4 linked regions of the Arabidopsis thaliana genome follow. The protein of the gene in region 1 interacts with the protein of each later gene in a pairwise test. Each region holds a gene or a part of one and is shown in the gene's direction. Other genes may lie near its edges.

What was found.
Region 2: the proteins of p24beta2 (region 1) and NRAMP2 interact in a protein complementation assay, tested with the Arabidopsis thaliana proteins (one large-scale study listed by BioGRID).
Region 3: the proteins of p24beta2 (region 1) and AT4G22790 interact in a protein complementation assay, tested with the Arabidopsis thaliana proteins (one large-scale study listed by BioGRID).
Region 4: the proteins of p24beta2 (region 1) and EXO70B2 interact in a protein complementation assay, tested with the Arabidopsis thaliana proteins (one large-scale study listed by BioGRID).

Annotation. Positions count from the first base shown.
Region 1 is NC_003074.8:2,453,151-2,457,527, forward strand, and holds p24beta2 (emp24/gp25L/p24 family/GOLD family protein), read left to right. Parts: upstream 1-2,088; 5' UTR 2,089-2,318; intron 2,319-2,476; coding exon 2,477-2,674; intron 2,675-2,912; coding exon 2,913-3,099; intron 3,100-3,175; coding exon 3,176-3,283; intron 3,284-3,368; coding exon 3,369-3,502; 3' UTR 3,503-3,768; downstream 3,769-4,377. Other genes in the region: AT3G07670 (Rubisco methyltransferase family protein), read left to right, coding at 34-105, 207-287, 470-642, 746-848, 935-1,066, 1,158-1,280, 1,381-1,467; AT3G07690 (6-phosphogluconate dehydrogenase family protein), read left to right, coding at 4,082-4,377. UniProt on the Arabidopsis thaliana protein: Involved in vesicular protein trafficking. Mainly functions in the early secretory pathway but also in post-Golgi membranes.
Region 2 is NC_003070.9:17,307,870-17,313,106, reverse strand, and holds NRAMP2 (NRAMP metal ion transporter 2), read left to right. Parts: upstream 1-1,601; 5' UTR 1,602-1,798; coding exon 1,799-2,370; intron 2,371-2,740; coding exon 2,741-2,877; intron 2,878-2,965; coding exon 2,966-3,618; intron 3,619-3,833; coding exon 3,834-4,064; 3' UTR 4,065-4,304; downstream 4,305-5,237. Other genes in the region: CYCA3;4 (CYCLIN A3;4), read right to left, coding at 4,520-4,603, 4,689-4,823, 4,906-5,055, 5,146-5,179. UniProt on the Arabidopsis thaliana protein: Seems to be involved in iron uptake.
Region 3 is NC_003075.7:11,974,158-11,978,592, reverse strand, and holds AT4G22790 (MATE efflux family protein), read left to right. Parts: upstream 1-1,844; 5' UTR 1,845-1,964; coding exon 1,965-3,440; 3' UTR 3,441-3,562; downstream 3,563-4,435. UniProt on the Arabidopsis thaliana protein: Could function as a HCO(3)(-) -sensing component in the CO(2) signaling pathway in guard cells. Acts as an upstream repressor of HT1. Plays a role in stomatal response to CO(2).
Region 4 is NC_003070.9:2,149,445-2,154,456, reverse strand, and holds EXO70B2 (exocyst subunit exo70 family protein B2), read left to right. Parts: upstream 1-1,915; 5' UTR 1,916-2,151; coding exon 2,152-2,643; intron 2,644-2,751; coding exon 2,752-4,059; 3' UTR 4,060-4,299; downstream 4,300-5,012. Other genes in the region: SLP1 (Calcineurin-like metallo-phosphoesterase superfamily protein), read right to left, coding at 8-183, 270-405, 495-707, 852-953, 1,034-1,066, 1,149-1,261, 1,325-1,508; AT1G06990 (GDSL-like Lipase/Acylhydrolase superfamily protein), read right to left, coding at 4,448-4,638. UniProt on the Arabidopsis thaliana protein: Component of an exocyst subcomplex specifically involved in autophagy-related, Golgi-independent membrane traffic to the vacuole. Regulates autophagosome formation and autophagy-related Golgi-independent import into the vacuole.

The DNA of each region.
Region 1 (4,377 bases):
TCTGCAATTCAGACTTAAGCTTCTCTAACACAGGTGCGGTTGCCTTCTATGGATGGAAGATTTGCCTTAGTTCCATGGGCAGATATGCTTAATCATAATTGTGAGGTACTTCTACTTATCTTTATGACCAATTAGCTCCTAGATTCTCCTAATCAGAAAGCATGATTGACTTATGGTAATCAATATTTCAAAATCTGCTTGGAAAGGTTGAGACGTTCCTGGATTATGATAAATCTTCAAAAGGAGTTGTCTTTACAACAGATCGACCATATCAACCAGGTGAGCAGGTAAATAAGATAAATTCATTCAGATAACCTGAGCGAGCATTGAAGTTTAATATAAGTCAGTGTATAACACAAAGAAGTCCCGTTTACACAGTTTGCCTTTTAGCGCTTCAGTAAGTCAGTCCAAAGTGGAACCAATGTTGTCTGAAGTCTCTGATATGTTTCAGTAACATGACATTGTGCAGGTTTTCATATCCTATGGGAATAAATCTAACGGAGAGCTATTGTTATCTTATGGGTTTGTTCCCAGAGAAGGAACCAATCCTAGTGATTCAGTAGAACTAGCATTATCACTTAGGAAAAACGATAAGTGTTACGAGGAAAAGCTGGATGCTTTAAAGAAACACGGATTATCGACGTATTCCATTCTCCACCATCCATGTTCCCCTCTCAAATTTGTAGATCTCTCTTGATTAACTTGAGTTTTGTTTTGATTGTTTGTGTTAACTTTTCTCTGGCAGACCTCAATGCTTTCCCGTAAGGATAACGGGTTGGCCAATGGAGCTAATGGCATATGCTTATCTTGTGGTGAGCCCTCCAGATATGAGAAACAACTTTGAAGAGGTTTGGCAACTCCATCTTGACCCTTTTTACCATCCAATTCTTCCCAAATTCATAATACATCTCTTATCAATTATTATCCATTTCAGATGGCGAAAGCTGCTTCAAATAAGACATCAACAAAGAATGATCTAAAATATCCTGAAATCGAGGAAGACGCATTGCAGTTCATACTGGACTCATGCGAAACAAGCATATCAAAGTACAGCCGATTTCTAAAGGTAAGTAACAAAACAGCTCATCTCTCTCTCTTTGTGGGAAAATTTTCACTCCATCTGCTTATAGTTTGCTTTGTCAATTATCTAATTGTAGGAAAGTGGATCAATGGATTTGGACATAACATCTCCAAAACAGTTGAACCGAAAAGCGTTTCTGAAACAGCTAGCTGTAGACTTGTCCACTAGTGAGCGCAGGATACTGTACCGTGCTCAATACGTAAGGAACAACTTTCTAGCCAATACGATAGATAAGAGTCTGTGGATCGATCCATGATATTGTGGAATCTGTGTTTTTTTTTTTGTTTTGTTTGGGTCAGATTCTGAGGAGGAGACTGAGAGATATCAGAAGTGGTGAGCTGAAGGCTCTACGGCTCTTCAGTGGACTTAGGAACTTCTTCAAGTGAATGTTGAATGAGGACATTTCAACAGCTTTAAGATGGATCAAAGGTAGGCCTCGTTGTGCTTCAACCAAAAATGTAGTTTTTTATTACAAAAAAATTGAACGTTGGTGTAGGCATGGTTGGATCTGTCTCACTCGTATAGGAATATATTGGTCCAGCCATATATGTAATTTGATCATTTTCTATAAACTCAAAACCTGAACCTAAATTGATTAATTAAGGAAACGCATGAGAGAGTAAGGGTAGAAACATGTTCTTCGTATTTGATCCGAATCGAACTGAAATAATCGATCCAACAAACAAAGATAATTTGAAAATTAAGAATATATCTGACTACAACTCATAACGAAAACCGTACCAAAACTCACACTCCTTGTTACCGCAAACAAGATAATCTGATGGTACACGTCAGAACATTTGTTTCTTTAGCAAAGCAAGTAAACATTCCACTGTGGCAAAGTAAAAAACGAGAAACCTATAAAGTCTTCCTAATGAAACGTACTGATTTTATGGAGTTTCCATTTTCGACATAATATGACGTGGCAATATCTAAATGGTTTAAAGATGTTTTATCTCCAATGATATAACGCCACGTAAGCCCGCTGACCAAATAACCCAAAGAGTAAGCAAGCGACGTCGTTTATAGTTTGATGATCTTGTCGGGTAACGAAACTGCCCCTTGAGTCAAAACAGGCTTCTTCGTGTCCGATTCTGAACGAGCTCGCTCTTTCTCATCCAATTCTCTCCACCGTCTTCTACTCCGATCAATCTTCAAATTTTCTTAACACTCATCGACCAGATCGAGTTTCCATCGATCTAATCAATCAATCATCAGATTTGATCTTCTCAAGAAGGTAAATCCCTCTCACTCTCTGTGTCAAACCTAATCACCTCGTAGGAATCGAAATTGGAACAATTCAATTTGGTTTGGTTTGGAATCTCTAGTCGATTCTTCTTCTAAACGATTGAATTGCGTTTTGTGCTTTGATATAATTCGAAATTATTGTGGCAGATGAGCTTGAAGGGTACGATCGTATTACTAGGGCTCTTATGGAGCTTCCAGGCTACGTTAGGGATTAGATTCGTGATAGACCGTGAAGAATGTTTCTCCCACAAGGCTGAATATGAAGGTGATACGCTTCATGTCTCTTTCGTCGTCATCAAGTCTGACTCTCAATGGCATTTTAACGAGGATGGTGTAGATCTTGTGGTATGACTTTTTTTCTTCTAATTGAACTTTTCTACATTCTACATTGCAAAATCGTCGAAAATCAATAGAATTGGTATTCCTAAACAATGCTTAGGATTTCCATTGTTAATGTTGGTAGATAATTTGAAGTATGTATTGATAAAGAATTTGGTTACTCTTTAAAGCTGTTATATTGTACCATCTGGTTAATTTGGTGGTTGTTGTTGTTGTTGATATATTTTGGATGCATTTTGAATAGATACATGGCCCAACAGGCGAACAAATTCATGACTTCAGGGAGCAGATAAGCGCAAAGCATGATTTTGTTGTCCAAAAAAAAGGGGTTTACAGATTCTGTTTCACAAACAAGTCTCCTTATCATGAAACCATTGACTTCGATGTACAGCTTGGTCACTTTGCATACTACGATCAACACGCAAAGGACGGTAAGGATTATCTGTTTAGTTTTGTTTCAGTTTCGTTTGGTGATGAGGTATTTAGCTGAAGATGGTTTTTGTGCAGAGCATTTCACTCCCTTGATGGAGCAAATATCAAAGTTAGAGGAGGCTCTTTACAACATCCAATTTGAACAACATTGGTTAGAAGCTCAGACCGATCGTCAAGCTATCGGTAACATTTTTTCCTCTAAAAACCACATTTGTTGTTCTCACTTCAATATTGAGTGATGGTTTGAATATGGTTGTTCCTTGTGCAGTGAACGAGAACATGAGCAAAAGAGCAGTACACAAAGCTTTGTTCGAGTCGTTTGCACTGATTGGGGCAAGTTTTCTCCAAGTTTATCTTCTGCGTCGCTTGTTTGAACGCAAACTCGGCATGTCTCGTGTCTAAAAGTATCGAGTTTATTATGACTTTGAACTTATTTTGCCTTAAAATGTACCAGGGAATCTTTACTTAAAACCTTTTTACAGACAGATCGTAGTTCATTGGAAGATTTGCTTTCTCCCATGTTCAAGAACTAATCCTCTCGTGATGATAATTCTTTTTTTTCTCTTTATTAACAGACAACTTTTCCACAAGCTAGGTTTTCATTTCAATAGAGAAAATAGTGATTCCTTAAAACCTTTTTTCCCTAAAACAAAGAGAATAACAATGTGATCAAGCTTTGAATAAGACGTGTCAAAAGTACTCAAAATCCCTTAACTGGATTCGAACTCTTATAGAGAAGGTTATAAAAGTGGACACTAGACTAAGTTAGTTGGGCCCAGAGTAGATAGATAAAGCCAGCTATCATTTTCTTAGTCGTCGTACAAGTTACCTGAAAATAAAATAAAAACACAAACTTTCCTGAAAAAGTCGTCTCCAGTTTTAAGCATTGATAAATCCGACAAGAAGTCCGATTTTGTTCCATAGCTTGCTTGTGTTTTTAGTGGATTGAGTCACTGAAAGAGAAATCATAAGGCTTTGTTGATGATGGATCATTTGGTGGAGACGAATTCAGTTCCGAGCAGATTGGTGGAAGAAAGGCTTGATGAGATTCGTAGAGTAATGGGTAAAGCTGATGACGACCCGTTAAGGATCGTTGGTGTAGGAGCTGGTGCTTGGGGAAGCGTTTTCATTGCAATGTTGCAGGAAAATTACGGTAAGTTTAGGGGCAAAGTTAGTGTGAGAATCTGGAGAAGAGGAGGCAGAGCAATCGATAAAGCCACAGCTGAACATTTGTTCGAAGTGATTAATTCGAGGGAAGAATTGTTGAGGAGGTTGAT
Region 2 (5,237 bases), on another chromosome or scaffold:
GCGTCAGCCACAAAAGCCTCCGATATCGCCTAATCTTCTTTCGTGAATAGTAAGAGACAAAAAATGGGTTAGTTGCATGTAAGAAACACAGATAAAGGACGCAATATCTACAAACCTCGTGGGTTATTCAAACAAAGCACATCAATATTTACAAACCTCATGTGTTTTCCAAAAAAGCACAGAAGGATTCCCAAAAAAAAAACAGAGACTTTAGCCGCAAACTCTCGATGGTCGCCTAACTTTCATTCATCAACAGTACACGAAACAAAATTAGGGTTAGTTAACAACGAACCGAACTTTAGATCTAGACACAAGCGATGATTGACATGCAATTAAAGGTATAGGGGAAGAGAAATAAGAAGAGCAACTGTAAATAATCGGAAATCAGTGGTTCTACTTACCCAAATCGTCGGCGAGGGAAGACCAAAAATTAATCCTTCGATTGTCACCGGCGACTGCAACGAGAAGACGATTTGAAAAGGATAATCGGAAACACAATCAATTTCTAGAAACAACTACTACTTGGATCGAAAAGATGAGAGCAACGACGATGAAATTAATCGCCGCCGAGAGAGGTTTTTTCGGTGAGAAAAATTTTTTTTTTTTTTTTTTTTTTTAATTTTAGGGTTATTACTTTGGTCGTGAGACAAACTTGGGCCGAATAATGCAATAGAATTCAAATTTCAAACCCAGAATCATACGCTCCCCAAACAGTGTCTTGTCGCTTTGATGTCTAAGGTTATACATGTAAAATTACATGTGTTTCCGACTTACCCCTGTAGCTCATGGCTATTCTCTTAATTTTTTTTGAATCCATGGCTATTTTATGTAGATACTCATTGAAATATGGTAAAAGAAGGTACAGTAGAAATACTAATTATGTTCATGCTTGAAAGTTGAAACACACAAAAAAAACGAATAACATGTTTTTATGATTTAAATAATGAGTGATGAAAACACACATGAAGGGATTGACAAAAATACTAGTCACTAAATATCCTCATGATACAAAAAAAAAAGAAAAAAAGAAAAATAGTCACTAAATATTCACTTAACTAAAAATCCTCATGATTTGTTCACTTTGGAAAATTCAGCAAAAAAATTTAGTAAGCTTATTGAATGTAAACCAGTAATTTCTGATGAGATTAAAACTGAGTTCTAGTTAAAAGACTTTCGGATGAGGAGGTTAAATTTTCATAATTTGCATCGCATCAAAAAAAAAAAAACATTTTATCAATGGTTGAGTTTCTGCTCATAAATTTTTGGAATGTGAGTAATACAATCATATCAACTATGCTATTCATGAAGCTCTAAAAAACTAATCATGAATCTTATATTGGAAACTCAATAAACTTTTGGTGTGGGATATTTAGTTTCACACATTGTGATCTATAAAAGAGAGGAAGAGATAGATCAAGCAATGGATCTAAAAATGTATAAAACACACACTTTATTCACTACCTTGTATTCAATTAACGTCATTAAAAAGCAAAGCTTTATTCAAATTTGTGACAATACAACTATGGCAACACTACACTAAATACATAATTTCAAAGCAAATTTATAACATAAAGTTTTTCTTCTTTTTTAGGCATTAATATAATAAAGTTGAATCTGGTACCAAAAAGTTACGAAAAAGAAACGCATTAATCTCTTTTTTAAAAAGCATCTGATTAAGTGCCTGCGTCTTCTTCTTCTTTTATCCCTCCAATTCAAAATTCAGGTACGTCGACGACACCACCACCACCACCGACAGAATATTCCGATTTAACCCTCACCGAATATTCCCTCTTCCTCCATGGAAAACGACGTCAAAGAGAATCTCGAAGAAGAGGAAGACCGTCTTCTTCCTCCTCCTCCTCCTTCACAATCTCTCCCATCCACCGATTCCGAATCCGAAGCGGCTTTCGAAACAAACGAAAAGATCCTAATCGTCGATTTCGAATCACCCGACGATCCAACAACCGGAGACACACCACCGCCATTCTCATGGCGGAAGCTCTGGTTATTCACCGGTCCAGGTTTCTTAATGAGTATAGCGTTTTTGGATCCAGGGAATCTAGAAGGAGATCTACAAGCTGGTGCAATCGCTGGCTATTCTCTGTTGTGGCTACTAATGTGGGCAACAGCTATGGGGTTGTTGATTCAGATGTTGTCAGCTAGAGTCGGTGTAGCTACTGGTCGTCATTTAGCTGAGCTTTGTCGTGATGAGTATCCTACTTGGGCTAGGTATGTGCTTTGGTCTATGGCGGAACTTGCTTTGATTGGTGCTGATATTCAAGAGGTTATTGGTAGTGCTATTGCTATTCAGATTCTTAGCCGTGGCTTCTTGCCTCTTTGGGCTGGTGTTGTTATTACTGCTTCCGATTGGTGAGTCCTTTCGATACTCTATTCGTTCTTTAGAGATGTTGGATTCGTAGAATTAGTAGAGACTTGGTTTGGAGAATCTTATGATTCATTCTGAAATTTTAAAACTTTGCGGATCATCTTAGCGGTATTGAGTTTGAGTATGGATCATTCGAACTCACAAATCAGTAGAAACTTGGTTTAGAGATTCATGATTCAATCTGAAGTTGAGAATTTGCTTTTACTTTGGCTGTTTTCTTGTAAAACTTTGCTAAGATGATCCAAACTCACAAATCAGTAGAGAATTGGTTTAACGATTTGTGATCGAATCTGAAATTAAGAAACTTGCTTTTTTGTATTTTGAAAACTTGGCTAATGAATTTGTTGCAAACAGTTTTTTATTTTTGTTTCTAGAGAATTACGGTGTGAGGAAGTTAGAAGCTGTTTTTGCAGTTTTGATCGCAACTATGGGTTTGTCCTTTGCTTGGATGTTTGGTGAAACAAAACCGAGTGGGAAAGAACTTATGATAGGTAAAGATTTCAGATTTTTACTCTTGAATTTCACTTTATTTGCTTTGATTTGAGTGCTTAAAAATCAAATCTTTGTGTTTATGGATAGGTATTTTACTACCGAGACTTAGCTCAAAGACAATTAGGCAAGCTGTAGGTGTTGTTGGCTGTGTTATAATGCCTCACAATGTGTTTTTGCATTCGGCTCTTGTACAATCGAGGAAAATCGATCCGAAGAGGAAATCCCGGGTTCAAGAAGCGCTTAATTACTATTTGATCGAGTCATCCGTCGCACTTTTCATCTCCTTCATGATTAACTTGTTTGTGACTACTGTCTTTGCAAAGGGGTTTTATGGAACTGAGAAAGCTAATAACATTGGCCTAGTTAATGCTGGTCAGTATCTTCAAGAAAAGTTTGGAGGCGGGCTTCTTCCGATTCTTTATATCTGGGGTATCGGGTTGTTAGCAGCCGGACAAAGCAGTACGATAACTGGTACATATGCTGGACAGTTTATAATGGGCGGTTTTCTGAATCTCCGGCTTAAGAAATGGATGAGGGCAGTAATAACAAGAAGCTGTGCTATTGTGCCTACAATGATTGTGGCAATCGTGTTCAATACTTCTGAAGCTTCCTTGGATGTTTTGAATGAATGGCTCAATGTCCTTCAGTCTGTACAAATTCCTTTTGCTCTTCTCCCTCTTCTAACCTTGGTATCCAAAGAAGAAATTATGGGAGACTTCAAGATTGGGCCTATTCTCCAGGTAAATTTCCACTTCTTTTACTACAAGTCTCCATAGGATACCACAATAGGTGAATTAGTGTTGAGTCTTATCGTTTTAGGTGTCTCGACTTTTTTAGTTTCACTGTTTGTGCAATTATCTTAGTAAACATGTAGAATTGAAAGTCCTTCAATGGAATAGAGAAGCATGAAGAGTGAGTATTTGTAAGTTGATTGGATTTATTGATTACATTGCAGAGAATAGCTTGGACTGTGGCTGCACTTGTAATGATCATCAATGGGTATCTTCTGTTGGATTTCTTTGTATCAGAAGTCGACGGGTTTCTGTTTGGAGTTACGGTCTGCGTCTGGACGACTGCTTATATCGCCTTTATAGTGTACCTCATTTCACACAGCAACTTTTTTCCTTCTCCTTGGTCATCCTCTTCCATAGAACTTCCCAAAAGAGTGTCCGTCTCCAATAGCTAGTAGCTGCACAAAAATAACTGCCCTCAAGACCATTTGTTACATGTCAAGAAGATACAGTAAACAAACTTCATCCACTATAGTCTTATACATATTGAAACGCCAAAGTGGTGATAAGAGTTAGCTTAGCTTTTTGTGAATGTTAACATCACAAATATGTAGTGGCAAAGTCTTTGTTGTACTTTTTTGTTTTTGTTAAGAGGATGTGCACATTCCAATATGATTTAAAGAGGCTTTTACATCATAGAAAAAAGCAGAAAACAAATCAATAAAAATCTAATAAACCATTGAAAAAATGGTCAAGCAAAAAAAAAAAAGTTTCTTAACTAGTGTTAGCAAAAATCATTGAACATACGCTAAAAGAGATAATACTCAATACTAATCTGCCATTCTAACAGATATATACAACCCAAAATTCAGGTAACTAACACTTCCAATACATAAGCTTCAAGCTTCTTTTACGCCATTCCTCTAATGGTAATATCTTCAAAGAAAGCAAGAGGTAGCTCCGGTGAAACAGGCATGGTCGCAACGCACTTGTACTGTACCAAGAGAATCAGATATTAGAATGTTCTTGTTGCAATATATCACAAGTTTAAAGTTACATCATTGAATTGTTGAATTTACCTTGTGTTGCTTGTACTTATTTCTAACAGCTTCTAGAGTGTTTCCTCTTCTGCTTAGATACAAGTCATGTATGATACCCACGCACACTTGTAGATCAGCTGCTTTGTACTTTGTGTATTCTTCTAGCATTTGATTCTGTTTGCATCACCAGAAGAGGATTTAGAATATAAAGAACTTTTTCTGTATAAGAACCTGTCATGGTTCTTAATTTGCTTACCCAAGGATGTTGTTTTGGACGGATGATGAACCGGGCAAGAAATACAGCTGAAGCAGACAAAAGAGATGGCAAATACTTCACACAGGTGTAATCTAACATACTCAATTCTGATAGATAGCAACAAAGGAACTCTATCTGCAATTGTGAGTCCTGCAAAGGCATGAAAAAAAAGAAGATTTAACAATAGAAATTATGAGATGCAAATGCCACAGTTTACAGGTACATCGATTTTGAGCTTACTTTGAAATCTTCTTGTGCAACCCGTGTAAACCGTCTGCACAAACACGACATAAAAAAGAGAATAACAATCAAAACAAGGGCAAGTAAAACCA
Region 3 (4,435 bases), on another chromosome or scaffold:
TAGTTAAAGACTTACGGTATGGGCTATATATAAAGTATAAACGAATAATAAACTTTTCCGATCCGAAATCATACTTATTTCTTATCATCCTTCTGAATAAATGTTTCAGTAAAGTTGCAACTGATTATATGTAAAGAACAAAATGATTCGACGTAAGAATATATGTTGAATGCTAAATTCCTAATACCATATTCCATTTCACATTCTTTTCATTCTTTAATGTAGTCTCATTAACTATTTCAAGAATATGATCATTTCTGTTAAATAAAAAATTATAGCTAAAGTGATTCGCATAAAAAGGGAAGTAGCACTTTACAAGGTAAAATTAGCCGTATGGGTCGAATATGGTTCGGGTATAGGATGGAGTACCAAATTATTCATTTGAGTAATATTTAATTATCCAACTTATTCGAATCTTCAATCTTGTAGGTGATACTAAGTCGAATTGATGAGAAGTTAGATAGTGAATTAGATGTTCGGACCGACCCATTATCCGAATTTTTTCTTATCTCATATTTTATTGGATTATCGATTCCAATTCTCAAAGTGGACAAACCTAAATTTTGTTATCTGCTTTTTTCTTCTTAAGGTTCTGTCCAACTACCACTTTTTATCCCTAATTCCGGAATAGTGAAAATCCCCAAATCTTTATCATCTCATGAAAATTTACCAATCGTGCCTTTTATTTTTGTTCTGGGGTCCTCTTCCTTTTTAAGAAGCAACAAAAATAAAAGTTGAAATATCTCCAATCATCCTATAAAAAGTTGGTATTTTATATTCATAATATTTTCATTAGAAAATGATGCATTATGCAATTATTTGTTGCTTTTTGGAAAGAAAAATAGAAAGCCAAGGTCACGTATCTTTTTCAAACACATTTTTTCTTTTGTCTATGCTATTTGTGTGTTCAACTATCTCTTAGTTTTTTAGGATACTTAATTCTAATTTTATTATATTCTATTTCTGTCAGTATTAGCTAGTGAGAAGAAAATTCTGATTATATTATGATTTACCAACTGCCTATTTACTATTATAAGCAAGCTTTGTTTTCCACCATTGTTTTATTTTTCTTACAGAAAGACTATATAACTTCGTTTACAAAAAAATTACTTAAGTGAAATCCTAAATATGATGAGGGTGGAAGTTATTTATGTTAAATGCAATAACACACTTCCCCTTTAGACAAAAGGAAAAAAAGAAGAAGAGATTAAGGTCCCATTGAGGTGTTTGAAAACCCTTTAGACTTGTTATCGAAAAATGGCAACCACACACAAATTTGGTATATTGAATGATGTCAAACTTTTCTTGCATGAAAGTTTATCGTTTGCTTTCCCCTATTTCGCTCCTCAACCAAATATCCGATGTTTTACACGAAAGCTTATGTGCATACTCTGGTTCTCTGTAACGAAAGTCCATTTTATATTTAAATAGTTTTTTACAAGCATTTTTTTCCAATGTTAAATTTTGTAATATCAACTTTTTTTAATTTAATATTAGCTTAGTTTCAGAAAAAAAAATATGTAAGAATTTTAGCCAAAAAAGATAAGAAAATAATATTAATGTAAAAATATATATTCGTTAATTGCACATTTTCAAAAATAAAATAAAATTACTGTATTAAAAGTGGGAAATGGGAATGATATGGATTCATCATCACTAATGCACTTAAGGGTATAGAAACCCACCAACTTGTTAATCCTCTGCTTTTATTGGCCGTTACAAAAGCTTCCTCGAGAAAATTGATTCAACATTTATATTATTTAGCTCATCACTCTCTCACGGAACTCATGCTTTTAATCTACCTACTTATAAAATCCTCCACGCAAACAACAAAACCATTTTCCACTTACAATTTTTTTTGTCATCTTTATCAACAAACAAACAACTATCTCTGCAAATTTGGCTGAAACCTCTTAAAAGTTCTTTGCTCTGTTCCAAATTATCCATATTTTCTACTAACAATAATGTCAGAAACATCAAAGTCAGAGTCTTTAGATCCAGAAGTCTCTGAAGGGCTTTGTTCAAAGACCTTGATGCAGAGCATTGTTCATGAGCTGAAGCTGCAGATGAGAATTGGTTTGCCATTGGTGGTTATGAATTTGTTGTGGTTCGGTAAGATGACCACCACATCTGTGTTTCTTGGCCGTCAAGGTGAGCTTAACCTAGCCGGAGGTTCATTAGGGTTTTCCTTTGCAAACGTTACTGGCTTTTCTGTTTTGTATGGTATTTCTGCTGCAATGGAGCCTATTTGTGGCCAAGCTTTCGGAGCCAAGAACTTTAAGCTTCTTCATAAAACCCTTTTTATGGCAGTGCTCTTGCTACTCTTGATTTCGGTACCAATTTCTTTCTTGTGGCTCAATGTTCACAAGATCCTTACTGGTTTTGGTCAAAGAGAAGATATTTCCTTCATAGCCAAGAAATATCTTCTCTACCTTCTTCCAGAGTTGCCAATCCTCTCTTTTCTTTGTCCACTTAAGGCTTATTTAAGCTCACAAGGTGTTACTCTTCCCATCATGTTCACAACAGCTGCAGCCACTTCTCTTCATATCCCCATCAACATAGTCCTCTCTAAAGCAAGAGGAATTGAAGGAGTTGCAATGGCGGTTTGGATAACTGATTTTATTGTTGTGATTCTTCTAACTGGATATGTGATAGTCGTAGAGCGAATGAAAGAGAACAAATGGAAACAAGGTGGCTGGTTAAACCAAAGTGCTCAAGACTGGCTCACACTGATCAAGCTTAGTGGACCATGTTGTCTCACCGTGTGCCTTGAATGGTGGTGCTACGAGATCTTGGTCCTTTTAACCGGGAGGTTACCAAACCCGGTGCAAGCTGTATCAATCTTGATTATAGTTTTCAACTTCGACTACTTGCTTTACGCGGTGATGCTCTCTTTAGGCACGTGTGTGGCAACAAGAGTGTCCAATGAGCTCGGCGCAAATAATCCTAAGGGAGCTTATAGAGCAGCTTACACTACACTCATTGTGGGTATTATTTCAGGCTGCATTGGAGCATTAGTGATGATAGCATTTAGAGGTTTTTGGGGGTCTTTGTATACTCACCATGACCAACTCATCTTAAACGGTGTGAAGAAGATGATGCTGATAATGGCGGTTATCGAAGTTGTAAACTTCCCATTAATGGTTTGTGGAGAGATAGTCCGCGGAACAGCGAAACCGTCTCTTGGAATGTATGCAAATCTTAGTGGATTCTATCTATTGGCTTTGCCTTTAGGGGCAACTTTGGCGTTCAAGGCTAAACAAGGGCTTCAAGGGTTCTTGATCGGGTTATTTGTTGGTATATCTCTCTGTCTCTCGATATTGCTCATCTTTATTGCGAGGATAGATTGGGAGAAAGAAGCTGGGAAAGCACAGATTCTGACATGTAACACAGAGGACGAACAAACTTCACAAGGTTCAGGACAAGATAGCCACTCATAGAAAGTACTCACTGAGGTATCTTCTAGCTAGAGATGTAGTCAAATTTACCTTGTGAGAGTATTTATCTTCTTGATGTAACTGTAACTATGAATTGAGGATCCAAACTTTGTATTATTGTGTATAAAAGAAAACGCCCACCATGTAACTCGAACCAATGACCACAAGTCCACAAAGTTAAGAGCCTTGCGCTCTACCAACTGAGCTAGACGATGTCGTTGCGTAGGTAATTGAGATTTGAAGAGGCCCATTATTTTACATGTGTAAGTTACACAAAACCTTACCGGGCCTTAACGAATTAACTTTTGATATTTGAAATTATTGGCAAAGTATTTCAAAAAATGTTTTAGTTGATTGTTCTATATACCAAACGAAAATAAATATCTTAACCAATACAGCAAAATTATTGGAGTACAACCATTTTGTTCTTGGTGTTTTGGTAGACAAAGAACCTAAAAACATTGATTGTGTCTTGTGAGTGCCATGTGAATCGGAAACACATATCCGAGGAGAAGTGTGGGGCACTCAAATCTCCACTTAGGGTTAAAGCTTGACATTAATTAAGGTTGATTTGTATTTAATTTTCTTTGATAAATTTTGTGTTTTTTTTTTTCCGGGAATTTAATTGGTGAAATTACTTAGTCTTAAACGTACGACCACGTTTATCGTTTTTTAGATACGCACTCGGTTTGGAATTATTTTATGTTTTGTCAACGTTTATTAATTATTTATAGCGTTGAGTTTTTTTGTTAAGACTGTCATGCACTATTATTATGCGATATGTCAAAAGCCGGTTTTTGAATTAGACTCTTTCTTGTGATGAACATTCGTCGCATATATTATCAATCGGATAATTAGCTTTCTTTGGAGGCCGATTCTCTTAATTCTGATTGTTTCAAGTTTCATGGTTAAGTTGATCAGGATTCAGGAGAATTTGTATAATCCGTGTGTAGACTTGTATTTTGTTTCCTATAATGGATTTAAACTTTTGCTTGTAT
Region 4 (5,012 bases), on another chromosome or scaffold:
TACTTGCCTGTTCAATTTGATAGTCCTCAAGCTCAGAAGTCTCTCTTGAGTAAAGTCGGCTCCAGACTACACTGTCATATCCTCGAGTCGCAATGAACGGCATCTGAGGACTGTCTTCATAGTTAGTAGGGCTTCTCATCCAAGTAGAGACTTCTCTGTTTATCCTCTCTATGCCGTATGCAACTGTGCAAGGACATTATAAGCATATGATATATCAAATCCAAAAGATCACCGAGAGGAAATGTTGAGATAGATTTGACTGTCCTTACCATGGTGAGGAAGGAGACCACCGTGGCAGAAGAGCCAGTTATTAACACGGAGAATAACTCCGTGACGCGACAATTCACATGCTAAACGACCACCTGGTCTGAGAAGGACCGACCTTGCAATTACTCCCTTTTGCCTCTGTCCTAATGGTTTTCCCACCGACTTTTGGTTAACCAACGAATACAAAAACTAAGAAAACTCAGAGAGGACAAGGCAAAATGAAGTACCTTTACTACATTCCATTGATCCCAATAGGTTTGAGAACTCCTCCTATCTTCTTTCCATTGTCTTGACTCAAAAATCCAATTCCTAAACGCTTTGTCCCAGTCTTGTGCATAGTCCTCCAAGTAGTCAAGAAAATCAGTACACTCATCAAATGCTCTCGCATCTACATATCTGAAATCCCCTTCAACATTCATTGTCTCGTGGTTCCCATTAACCTTTAAAATGTGACAAGAAGTTACTCTTTGTTAGTCCTATCAATTATCATCATTCTAGAACTAGCAAATTAAAATGTGTAGAGTGCAAAAGCTTCTCTGTGTAAAATTTACTTATGAAATTCAAGTATGATAGCAATCAAAAACCTGGAAAACAGCTCCACCATTAGCCTTGGCCTGATCATCAAGTGACCTCAATAAGGAGAGTATTGCGATTTCATCATCACCGCGATCAAGTATATCTCCTACCTGAACTAGTACCTGTATTTTCATTATGATTTCACAACTCATAAGCATTTAACTCAAAAGAATCAGTCATCATAATGAACCTCAAGATGCGTAATGTTGAACTCTAGCAGATACTGTCAATAATATCATCAAGCAAACCATTTAACACGATACTGAACCACTAAGAGATAATGTACATACGGTGTCTTGGCCGACCCACTGGTCTCGTCCGTCGGAGCTCAAGACGCCAGCCAACTGAAGTGCGTCTCTGGCTTTACCCAGATCGCCATGAAGGTCTCCAACTGTGAGTGCATATCCAAAACCAAAACCTACTCAATTTTGTTGTCAAATTATCAAAAAGATTGAAACTTTTCAGATTAATGGTGGCGAACCTGCAACGATACGACGAGCAGGAGCAGAGACGAAAGTGGGTGGATCTCCATTGATGACAATCGGCTTCAGAGCAAGTTCGTTACCATTAGAAGTGCTCAACAAAGAGGAAGAAGAAGGTTCTAAAAGTTTCTGGGGGTGAGAAGGAGGAAGTGGAAGTAAGGAATTGAGGTAAAGGGAAGCCATTGGTATTGGTGGTGGAGAAGCAATGATCCACCAGAGCTTTGATGAAATCACTTAACATTTGTGTTCGTCTGGTCTATAATTTGTGTGACTTGTCTCCAATTGCATGCTCAGTAATCAAATCCCTTTTATCTATCTACTGGCTGAGGTTTTTCCTCTCAATTTTTGGTTTTTCTGTTTTTAATAAAATAAAAGATAACCACAAAGACAAAAATTGGGCCTCTCAACCTTATCAAACTTATCGATCCCAAAAATGAATAATATGTCCATTGGGCCATCTAAAGCCCAAGTGTACTGGACGCCGAAAATTCAACGTAACGAAGTCATCGGCCCATAACCAATTTCCATGATGACCAAACGCACAACGCGGTTGTTAAATTGCGTTCACGTTCTGTAAACATCAAACCAGACAGAACCAAAAGAGAAAAATCGAAACGAAGACAAAGTCGTGGTCGTGGCACTAAGAAATTACAGATTCCATTAAAATACAAACAGAAGCACACAACTAAGTCAGACATGGTTCCCGCGTTTAATCTCCGAAGACTTTGTCAATATTATAGTCTTCGTCTATGGATTTTCGTCTTTATTCTCCCAATTCCACCAATTCCGTAATTTCCCCGAACATTATTAATTCCCATCCAATCATATGGCTGAAGCCGGTGACGAGAATCTTTACGCCGCCGCCAGAGACATCGCCAGAGCTCTCGGCAAGGATCCAAGTGCCGCCGGAGATATCTTACAGATTCTCTCCGGTTATGGCGCTTCCGGAAACCGCGGCGGAGATCCTCGACCCACCCCATCCCGCGGCGGCTCAAACGTCAACTTTGACCGAGCCCTCACCTCTTTAGAGAGACAGATCTCCAGCTACATCGTGGAAGATCGACCGATCTGGTCTGATCCCGTTGACTCGCGCACCTTCCTCGACTCTGTTGATGAGCTACTTGCGATTGCCGGAGACTTGAGATCCATGGCCGGAGATAAATCCGTCGCCGTCTGTCAATCCCGTGCCGATGAGCTGATTCAACAGGTGATGTTTAGGCTTCAAGAAGAGTTTGGATTTGTAATGGACCGAGCCCCTGACTCGTTTGACTCGGACGATGAGTTCCCCGGCGAAGAAGACAACGACACAAGCGACGGGGTAATTAATTCATCTGTAAATTTATTACTAAATTAGTTTTGGAATTAGAATTAGAAAATTCGGTTTACTATCGGTTATATTGTGGTTAAGTGATTCACAATTGAATAGGTAATCGTTGCTCGTCCAATCACTGATTACAAAATCGTGATCGAGGCGTTACAATCTAGCGTTATTGGCGATCTAAACGCGATCGCTGTGCGCATGGTCGCTGGTGGATTTGCAAAAGAGTGTTCAAGAGTGTACAGCAGTCGACGAAGAGAGTTTCTAGAGGAGAGTTTGTCGAGGTTACATCTCAGAGGACTAAGTATGGAGGAAGTGCAAGAGAGTCCATGGCAAGATCTTGAAGACGAAATCGACCGTTGGATTAAAGCCGTAACGCTGATATTCCACGTTTTCTTCCCGAGCGAGCGTCTTCTCTGCGATCGCGTTTTCTCTGATCTTCCTGTTTCCTCTGTAACCGATCTTTCTTTCATGGAAGTTTGTCGCGGAACCACAACACAGCTTCTGAATTTCGCAGACGCGATCGCTTTAGGAAGCCGTTTACCTGAACGTTTGTTTAAGGTTGTGGATTTATACGAAGCGATGCAAGACCTTATTCCTAAGATGGAAACGCTATTTTCTGATCGATATTGTTCGCCGCTAAGGCATGAGGCGCTCGCGATTCATAAACGGTTAGGAGAAGCGATTAGAGGGATATTTATGGAGCTGGAGAATTTAATCCGACGTGACCCTCCCAAAACAGCGTTTCCTGGCGGTGGGATTCACCCGATCACGCGGTACGTGATGAATTATCTGCGTGCGGCGTGTAAATCGCGGCAATCGTTGGAGCAGATACTTGACCAGACAGGAAATGAAACCGGATCAGATACGAGACCGTTGTCTGTGCAAATCATATGGGTTTTGGAGTTGTTGGAGAGTAACTTGGAAGGCAAGAAAAGAACTTATCGTGATCCGTCTTTGTGTTTCTTGTTCATGATGAACAATGACAAGTATATTCTTGATAAGGCTAAGGATAACGAGCTAGGTTTAGTCCTAGGAGAAGATTGGATTGTGAAGCACGCAGCGAAACTGAGGCAATACCATTCTAATTACCGAAGGAGCTCATGGAACCAAGTGGTGGGATTGCTTAGGACCGATGGTCCGTATCCCAAGTTAGTAGAGAACCTAAGATTGTTCAAATCACAGTTCGATGAGGTGTGTAAGGTGCAATCTCAATGGGTTGTTAGTGATGGGCAATTGAGGGAGGAGTTAAGAAGCTCTGTTGCCGGAATTGTATCTCCGGCGTACTCGAATTTCATCAGAAGATTGAAGGAGTCACCGGAGATTAATGGGAGGCGTGGAGAGCCGTTTATTCCGTATACTGTTGAAGATGTGGAGTTTATAATCAAACGGTTGTTCAAGGAAAGCTCAAGTTGATTAAATTAGATATGAAAAGAAATTAAAAAATTCTTATTAATTGAATTTTTTTGTAAAATTGTGAATCATTCTGTGTTTTTTTATCTTTCTTGGGTGAATAATGTTCATGGATCGGTGGAATCACCTTTTCGACATTGATTTGTTCATGTATTGCTTTTTTGATGTAAGAAATTTCCTTAAGGTTAAAATATAATTCGTTTGGGTTTCAAAACGGACTTACGAGCATTGTGCTATAGAGTTACAACTTACCAGGATAGAGTAGTATAATATCATAATAGTATACATGTAAAACCTAGCTTAAGCAAATACGAAAGATTATGTGAACCCACAGGGAAATAATTATAGATTGACTACAGATTAATTAATATATATGAAAGCAAAATGAAAATCAAGAGAGTACGTGGAAAATTTGTTCAACAAGACTGAGACTGATGACTATGTAAGCAATTTGGGAAGGATGAATATCGTCCCAGAAAAGGTACTGGTTAGGGTTAGGACAAATCCGAGTTAAAGCATTGCACAAGTACGCTAACTCTATTTCTCCAGTCCCGCAACATCCTCTCGTCGTCTCCTTTAACCCTGTCCCATTCAAAGGAATAACATTGATAACTACTTAGCTTTGTAATAAAATGAAATATTTTATAGTCTTGAATGTTCTCTTATAACAAACTATAATTTCAAAACCTGTAAAAAAAATTATCAGTAAAAATCCTGTAAAATACATGCACTTCACACGTATGTGATATATACTAATATGAGAGAATTGTGCGGAGAAAATTGGATTATGCTTTGGGTTTGATTGATTTCTTTTTTCTTATTTTGCATTTATGCAATATCTTTTTTAAATGATCCAATATAACAACCTCAAATATATTTTTTCCAAATACAATATAATCTAGAAAGAGATGCAATTGATCAAAACTCAAGGAAAACTAGATTTAGTGCGAAACGTT